Linked DNA regions of Ovis aries. Each later gene encodes a partner of the first gene's protein in a complex. Links are inferred from orthologs where the notes say so. Each region holds a gene or a part of one and is shown on either strand. Other genes may lie near its edges.

Evidence for each region. Proteins that work in one complex are often made in the same cells at the same time.
Region 2: the proteins of GLB1 (region 1) and CTSA are in contact, whole or in part, in a cryo-EM structure (PDB 7KDV), measured with the Mus musculus proteins. The link is inferred for Ovis aries from reciprocal best matches to the Homo sapiens genes GLB1 and CTSA. Residues at the interface, in NP_033882.1 of Mus musculus: Tyr198, Asp199, Arg202, His206, Leu229, Thr233, Leu234, Gln235, Asp236, Leu237, Lys258, Phe259, Glu260; in NP_001033581.1 of Mus musculus: Glu29, Asp31, Ala37, Lys38, Gln39, Pro40, Ser41, Phe42, Arg43, Tyr107.

What each region holds. Positions count from the first base shown.
Region 1 is NC_056072.1:7,452,213-7,456,390, forward strand, and holds the start of GLB1 (beta-galactosidase), read right to left. Parts: upstream 2,823-4,178; 5' UTR 2,788-2,822; coding exon 2,716-2,787; intron 2,502-2,715; exon of another isoform or gene 2,151-2,501; intron 689-2,150; exon of another isoform or gene 580-688; coding exon of another isoform or gene 1-579. Other genes in the region: TMPPE (transmembrane protein with metallophosphoesterase domain), read right to left, coding at 1-579.
Region 2 is NC_056066.1:74,627,285-74,631,622, reverse strand, and holds the start of CTSA (lysosomal protective protein), read right to left. Parts: upstream 2,810-4,338; 5' UTR 2,762-2,809; intron 2,556-2,761; coding exon 2,362-2,555; intron 2,012-2,361; coding exon 1,900-2,011; intron 1,626-1,899; coding exon 1,575-1,625; intron 1,482-1,574; coding exon 1,395-1,481; intron 1,165-1,394; coding exon 1,009-1,164; intron 597-1,008; coding exon 505-596; intron 114-504; coding exon 29-113; intron 1-28. Other genes in the region: NEURL2 (neuralized-like protein 2), read left to right, coding at 3,179-3,920. UniProt on the Homo sapiens protein: Protective protein appears to be essential for both the activity of beta-galactosidase and neuraminidase, it associates with these enzymes and exerts a protective function necessary for their stability and activity.

The DNA of each region.
Region 1 (4,178 bases):
CACAGTGATCACCACTGGGGGCTGGGCGGCGTTCAGCAGCCCCACCACGCTGAGCACAGTGGTTACCACCACTGCCAGTGCCGGCCGAAGGGCCAGCTTCCTGGTCTTATCAAGGCTGCCCACTGCTCTGCCGGCACGCCAGGCCAGGAGCTGGTAGGCCTGCTCCATGCCGCTGAGGACACAGAGGAAGCAGAGCATGATGACATAAGCCCCAAGGCAGGTGTAGGCAACCAGGGAAAAGAGATAGGGCTCCTCGGCCACTAGAAAGATCATGGTGAAGAAGCTGGAATGCGCCAGGGCCAGGAAGGCCACGACGATCATCTTCCAGAGCTGGAAACAGGCTGACTCTGCAGCCGGGGAATGCTTGAGATTGCTGACGGTGCTACGCCAGATGAAGATGGAGCCGAGGAGCATGAGCGAGTTGGCAAACAGGGCGAGCTGCAGGCGGAACAGGCATCGCCAGGCCCTGAACTCCAAGCTCTCCGCCAGGTAGGACCGGGAGACAATCATGGACACGAAGACAGTCCCGGCAGCCAGGGCGGCCTTTGCCCCCAGGGACAGCTGCCTGAAGATCGTCATTGCCTCAGCTCCTAAGAGGATACCCCTCCAGCTCTGTGTGGGTGAGCTCTGGAAGGTGAGTTCCTTAGATAGGACAGTGGCCAAGGACAGGTTTCCAGGTCAGCTCCTCCTGCAACCAGGAACCGGCGTCAGCTTTGTGGGATATGAGAGCTTTCTAGTCCCCTGTCAAAACCTGAAGACCACTTACATCTGCCCAACCAGCCTTGAATCCAAGCCACTCACTCAAACCAGTCAAAACTAGTCAGCTGCTACACTTTACCAGTGAACTACAAACACACCTGATTGTAACAAGATGGGCAGTTTCACTTTTCTTACAGTTCTCTGCATCTTTCAAGTATTTCCACAACATGTATATGAACTTTTATAATAAGAAAAACATTATTCTAAATCAGCGGTTCTCAAAGTGTGGTCCAGGGAGACCCTTTGGCTGTTGGGGTTGCGGGGGAAGCGAGGCGGGGGGCGGTGTCTACTGACTGTTTTCAAAAACAGTACTAAGCCATAATCATTCTCTCATGAATGTACAGTGAAGTTTCCAGAGGTTACGTGACATGTGAAATGGCAGAACTGAATGCAGAATTAGTTACGAGCATTCAACAGCCATCTATTAAGACAGACATGAATGGATACAAGTATACATATGGCTGAGTCCCTTCGCTGTTCACCTGGAACTACCACAACATTGTTAATCAGCTATACCTCAATACAAAATAAAAAATTTAAAGTTTGAAAAAAACAAAGTCTAATCTCCAAAAAAAAAAAAACATGAAAGAGATTTGCAAAAATGTACAATGTCACTTTGTGCCCTAAAAACTGGAGAGAACAACTTGTTTAAAATATATATATATATATAGTTTATTAACATATAGTTTTAAATGTTCTAACTTCTAGGACAGTTACAGTTTGAGAACCGCTGTTCTAACGTGTAAACCAGGGAGCCATGGAAAGCTAGTCTGCTGGTATTTTTTTTTCAGCTGTAGGCCAAGAAGGAGAACCGAGGCAACTGACATAAAGATTCCTGGGGTGGAGCCAGTCTCCTGATTGGTTCTTACAGCTGGCTGGCTCCCAGACAAAAAACTGCAAGGGAACTACAGACCTGGATAGACAAAGGTTAGCAAATATTCACTTGAGGTGACCTTTTCCCAATAAGACCCCAAACGAAAATATTTTCAGCAGTTGTTTTCCAAGTAAAACTCTCAACCTTGCTTTTAGATAAATGTAGGCCTTGTCAAGTTCACCAGCTTCTACTTATAAAACAAACCCCAGACTCAGCCCATCGGAACTCTGGAGGAACCAAAATTAGGTCCCAGAAAGTGCAGAGAGAAAGGCGCCCGTTTCAAGTCCCCATTCTCATCTCCCAGCTCAGATCTTCCTCACCCCCACCTTTCCAAGACCCCGAGTTCCCTCGGCCGCTCCCTTAGCTCTGCCGGGCAGACTGAGGCTGTCCTCCCGCAAGCCGTGCACGACTCCCCCCACCTCCCCGGCCCCCGCGTCCCCGCCCCAGCACACAGCCCGCCGGCCCAGACCTCCCTCCAGCAACGCTGGCGGCCACCTGCAGCCTGCCCCTGGCCCACCGTCAAACGCGGAGGCTTTGAAAAATCCAAGCCTTAAAAGCAGGCGGAGGGAAGTAGCGAGACGGGCAAGAGACGTCCTCAAAGAGCACACCCCGAAGGTAATTAACCCAGTGTTCCCATTGCTGCGGCCTCTCGTGACTCCGCTATTCTCCTTCCGGAGCGCTCCGCACAGCGCAGGCAGGAGAGGCGCGCCAAGCCCGAGGCTCCGGCGGCCTCCAGGAGCGCGCGCGACTCCGATCCCACTCCCGGAAACCCGCCAAGCTGGAAAGCACCTCATCTCGGCCCCTGGTTGCACCGATAAGGAAGTGGCTCTCGGCGACAGAGGCGGCGGGAGCGGAACTCACCAGCGACAGAGCGCCCGGCAAGGACGCGCGCCCCGCCCGGCCCGGCCCCGGCGGGAGGGCCGGCCCACTGCCTGAGCTTCCCGCGTAGCCGGGCGGGCCCGGGCGGGCCTCGGGGTCCCAGGACCCCCGCCCAGGGGGCCGCAGGGGGCCGCAGCCCCAGCCCGGTTCCCCGCCTGCGCTCCCCCGATTCATCATTTGTGCGCGGGGTCCTGTGGACTTACGTGCAAACCACGCGCGGAGCCCAGCAGCAGCGGCGCCAGCAGCAGGGCGAGGAGGCGCACGACCCCCGGCATGTCCGTCCGCTCTCGGGCCTCCCGGCTCCGCAGTCAGCCGGGGCAGCCGTTCGGCGTCGCTTGACCGAGGACCCGGGGCCTGGCTCCGCCCCGCGCCGCCCCCGCCCCGCGCCCCGCCCCGCCGCCGCAGCCGCGGAGCCCGGAGCCGGCGGAGCCGAGAGCCTGGGGCCACACGCGGCCGCGGGACCGCAGGGCAGTGTTATCTGACCTCCGCCGGCCTCCGCCTGAGGGAGGAACCTTTTGCAAAGCCTCAGGAGTACTCGCTGTCAGCAGCTTGATAACGCACCTCGGGTTTGGACTTTAACAAGGGTCTCCTTGCTCCCCGGCTTCCCGGACACGACAGAAACGGAGCAGTTAAACCTAAGTGGACTAGATGGATCCTCAGCCCTTCATAGGGGCAGTCTGGAAAACAACCAGGAGTCCGCCAAAGTGTGGTCCCTGATCCAATCTTCTATCTGGTACGTGTTGGAATTGGAAATAACGAGTCCTCGCCCAAGAAACCCTTGCAGTCCAAGGGACCCTCAAGAGTCTTCTCCAACACCACAGTTCAAAATCATCAGTTCTTCAATGCTCAGCTTTCTTCACAGTCTAACTCTCACATCCATACATGACTACTGGAAAAACCATAGCCTTGACTAGACGGACCTTTAAGAGTAAAAATGTCCTTCTCACAAGAGTCTTTGGACACTTTTGAAACTAAGTCCCTTTATCTGGGGTTTCAGCAACACTGTCTTCCCCCTTAAAGCATAATTTCACTGACATGAGTAAACTATTTAGATTCAAATCTAAAAACTATTCAGAAGAGAAATTGTGAATACCTATCACAGGGGGAAAAAATCAAATGAAGCTGTTGTAGGTATTTTTGTGATATTCATGATAGCAAAGGAAGGCATAACAGCAAAGAAGAAAGATAATCACGAATCTATAAATAGTAAAATGCAAACACAAGTATATTATAAAATCTTATTTCTACCTAGTAGCACCAGATAATTGGAATGTCATTAATCATATTGCTCAGAATAAGGTTACAGGGTTTCCTTACCCTACTGCTCTCCACCCGGGTGCCCTTTCCCAATAAAATCTCTTGCTTTGTCAGCAGATGTGTCTCCTCAGACAATTCATTTCCGAGTAGGGATAGGGTCCAGAAAATCTATTTTTACAACCCTCCAGGTCATTCTGACAGCACGCAAAGCTTGAGAACCATTATTCCAGGTTCGGTTCAGTTCAGTTCAGTTGCTCAGTTGTGTCCGACTCTTCGCGACCCCATGAATCGCAGCACGCCAGGCCTCCCTGTCCGTCACCAGCTCCCGGAGTTCACTCAGATTCACGTCCATCGAGTCAGTGATGCCATCCAGCCATCTCATCCTCTGTCGTCCCCTTCTCCTCCTACC
Region 2 (4,338 bases), on another chromosome or scaffold:
GTGGCGCAGGGCGGGGGCAGAACCGCACATTGGCCAGGCATTCTGGCTCTTTGTTGTCGTGGAAGTTACATTTGTTTTGAGAGCAACAGTGCGTCTGCAGGGAAGACCAGAGCCTGTAAGAGATGAATGATAACTGCTTAGGCCCATGGTGGGCCAGAGAAGGCAAGTACCCCACCTTCTCAACTTCCCTGTCAGGGCTTGGACCCAAGGGACCTGTTTCCTGGGGACAAAGACATTTATCAGAGGACGTGGTATGTAGCTCTCAAACCTAGCTGCCCTGGGGCCATCCTGCCAGCCCTCCTTCATTTCTTTACATTCTGATCTTTACATGAAAGACCCTTTCATCTTTCCACATCAAAATCCCAGCCTCACCCACCTCCCCTGCCCCCCAACTTCTGCTCATAAACCAGGGCAGGACCCGAGATAGCATGTGCCTGGAGGACAGACCTGAGACCCCTATGACCCGCCACGCCACAGGGATTGCCCAGTGGTCCTCTCCCATACCTGTTCCCCAGAAGGCCATGGTAGTAAGCGAAATAGACCAGGGAGTTGTCATTCTGCTCATAGGAAGAGAGTCCATTGCCCACCGCCAGCCCCTGTGAAACACCCAGGGCGTTCAGCTCATCTGGACGTGGGCCAGAAGAGCCTCCTTTGACCTCCACCCAAACCTTAAGCAGTCTGGAAGCTGAAACCCAGTGTGTGGGAGTGGTTGGGCGGGGGAGGCCACTCGGTGTAAAGAATGGAGTCGGCAGCTTGATGAGTGAGCTTCCGGTCAGGGGAGGCACGTAGCCCAGAGGGGCCAGCGAGTGGCAAGGGGTGTCATGAAGGAAGAGGTGGACGAAGGAGCTGACGTTCTGCTCATAGAGCAGGGGAGGTAGGACCTGGGGTACCACATGCCTGGGGAGACCTGCCGCAGGGGATTGCCCAAGACGTGGGTGGAGGAGTGGAGCTGTTTGACCTTGCTAACCACAAGTCTAGGCCTCCCTCCCCTCTGCAGCCTCCCTGCACCTGAAGGTTCATGCTGGGGTCCTGCATGACCAGCACTGCCAGGGTTGGGATGTAGATGCCGGCATAGCTTTCGCCAGTCAGGAAAAGCTCATTGCCCTTGTATTCTGGGAACAGGCGGAAGAAATCTTTAAGGGCTTCGAAGTTGCTCTGGGCGACCTAGAGAGGGCAGGATAGAGGGAATCAGAAAGTGGTGGGGCTTGAGCTACAAACAATCTCAGAGATAATGACACCCACCCACCCTGTTTGTGCAAGAGCCTGTGACTAGTCCAAGCCCACACCCCAGAGCTGGTGACAGAGCCACAAATGGGCCCCCAGACCAGGCTCTCTTTCTCCTTGCGTCACGCCAGCCAGGGAGACTGGGACACGAGGGCGGACTCTGGACTCACCTCCGTGTCATTGGTGGCATAAGACTTGTCATCGGAGTAGGAGAAGCCCACTCCAGCTGGGGACTCGAGGTATAACACGTTGGCAATCTAGAGGGGAAGTGGAAATGGGTTGAGGGGGGCTGTTCCCTTCCCCATCCAACTGCTGAGACACCCACCCAGGACCCAAAGGGGCAGCGATACCAGGTTCCAGGAGTAGGGGTTGTACTCCAGGGTGACACCATCTGGCTGGATCTGTGGAGGAAAGAGATGGCTAAATTCCAAGAGTCAGCTGGGTGGGGGGTGCAGTGGGGGAAGGTCACCCTGCTGGGTATTGCACAACCAGGCAAAACCCCCTGAGATATGAAACTGTCAAGTCAGGGGTATGGATGAAGACACCGAGGCTCAGGAAACGGACACATTTTTTGGAAGACCAAAGTCCTTTTCTCCCTCTTCCCGGGCCTTTTCCTTTGGGAACTGTCCCCTCCCTGCCTCTGACCAGGGGGTGACCCCGCTGCTCTCCACTCACCAGGAAGGGGCCGTGCTCTGTCAGGAGGCCGTCAAGGGAGCTACAGCCTGGCCCTCCATTGAGCCACAGAACCACGGGTCTGCTCTTCGGATCCTTCTGGGACTCCACAAACCTGGGGGGGGGGGGGGGCGGGGCGGGGAGTCAGTCTAGGGTGGGTGCTGGTGCGAGGGACTGGGTGCAGCTCGGTCTTCCAGCCTTCCCTACTCCTGGATTTCCTCAGGGATTTTTTTTTTCTTCTTCATCTCACTTTGACGGCAGAGCATGCGAGTTCTTAGTCCCCCAACCAGGGATGGAAACCCAGTCCCCTGCAGCTGGAAGCACTGCAGCCTTAACCAGCGGACCCCCAGGCAAGTCCGATCCCTCAGGGGTCTTAAGGACAACCCCCCACACCATCATCTCCCCCCACGGTGGGCATTGCAGTGCCCCCCTCCCAACCCCGTCCTGGGAGACAGGGCTGCAGACCAGTAGTGGAGGCGCTTGGAGCCGGAGCCTTTGAGGTAGCCGGAGTACTGGCGGAAAGAAGGCTGCTTGGCCAGCCCGGGCAGGAAGCGGATCTCGTCCTGGTCGGGGGCCGCTTCGCCCTCGGGCGAGCAGGCGAGCAGCAGCAGCAGCTGCAGCAGGAAGAGGACTGGCGGCCACAGCTCGGCTCGGAACATCTGCGGCGGGAAGCGGGTGCCCGCTGTGGCCTCGCCCGCTCTGTGCTCGGCCGCCCCTGGCGGGGAGCTGGCGGCGCACCCTCCAGGGAAGCCCCTGCCCTGCCCCAGCTCCCACCCGCCGTGCCTCCTCCGTCGCGCCCCGCCCGGGGCGCTCCCGGATCGCTTCCAGCCTCCGGGATCCCTTCCAGCCCCGGGATCCCTCTCACCTCCGCTCCCTCGCGTCCTTGCTCTCCTGGAGGTGCCGGCCCGGCGACGGGAAGTCATGTGTACTCCGAGTCACGTGTGCCCCGGCATCACGTGACGGGCCGCCTCCTGCCCCCTTCTGGCCTCTAAGGACCCAGGCGGGCAGGACGGGGGCGGCGGAGGTTCCACCCGGGCGAAGGTCAGCGGGTTCGGCAGGTCGCATCCCGGGCGCCGGCGGTCCCGAGCCTCCTGGGACTCGCATCGAGGCGGGATGGCCAAACTAGCGGCGCTAGGACCCCTGGGCAGAGCCTTGGGGAAGGGAGTCGGTGGGCGGAGGGCAATACCTTACATGGTACACTCCCCCTCCCCCGGCGGTCACCATCTGAGTCCGCTGCCCAAAATAGCCTCCGGCGCCCGCCGATCTGCCCCATGGCCGGGAGATGGCTGCTGTCTCCGACCCCGTGGGGTTGGGTGCTCCGCGGGGACCGGCGCGCCCCGAGCCCCCTCCCACCCGCTTCCACCCAGTGCACGGTGCCAACATCCGCGTCGACCTCTCCGGGACGCGGGCCACACGCGTGGAGAGCTTCGCCCACGGTGTGTGCTTCAGTCGCGAGCCGCTGGCCCCCGGCCAGTTGTTCCTGGTGGAGATCGAGGAGAAAGAGCTGGGCTGGTGCGGGCACCTGCGCCTCGGCCTGACCGCGCTGGACCCCGCCAGTCTGGCCGCCGTGCCCGAGTTTTCGCTACCTGACCTGGTCAGCCTTGGGCATACTTGGGTCTTCGCCATCACGCGCCATCATAACCGCGTGCCCCGGGAGGGCCGCCCGGAGGCAGAGGCCCTAGCCCCTAGTCGCCCCCCAGCACTCCTGGTGGAACCGTATCTCTGCATCGAGCAGTTTCGCATTCCCCGCGATCGCCTGGTCGGCCGCAGCCGGCCGGGTTTGTACAGCCACCTCTTGGATCAGCTCTATGAACTGAATGTGCTGCCTCCGACCGCGCGCCGCAGCCGCCTGGGCGTTCTCTTCTGCCCGCGCCCGGATGGCACGGCTGACATGCATATCGTCATCAACGGCGAGGACATGGGCCCCAGCGCCCGGGGGCTGCCAGCTGCCCAGCCCCTCTACGCGGTGGTGGACGTCTTCGCCTCCACCAAGAGCGTGCGCTTGATCCAGCTGGAGTATGGCTGTAGGTATCCCATCCCCTGGGCAGCGACCCCTCCTGGCCCCCAGTGGGGACAGAAACCTGCTAGGACTTCTGGACCAGCTGGCAAGGCCTTGGTCTGTCCAGGGTTGCTTTAGAAGTTGGGGAACCTGGGACTTCCCTGGTGGTCCAGTGGCTAGGACTCAGTGGGCCCAATGCAGGGAATTGGGATTCCATCCCTGGTCAGGGAACTGGATCCCACGTGCCATAGCTAGGAGTTTGCGTGCTGCAACTAAGACCTGGCACAGCCAAATAAATACATAAATATTAAAAAAAAAAAAAAAAAGGTGGAGGGGGGAATCTGACTTCAGATTCTGCCTCTGCCTGTGGCCTTGGACAAGTCAATTCCCCTGGCTTTGGGCCTCGATTTACCCACCTTGGCTGTGATCGATTAAGTTGTCCT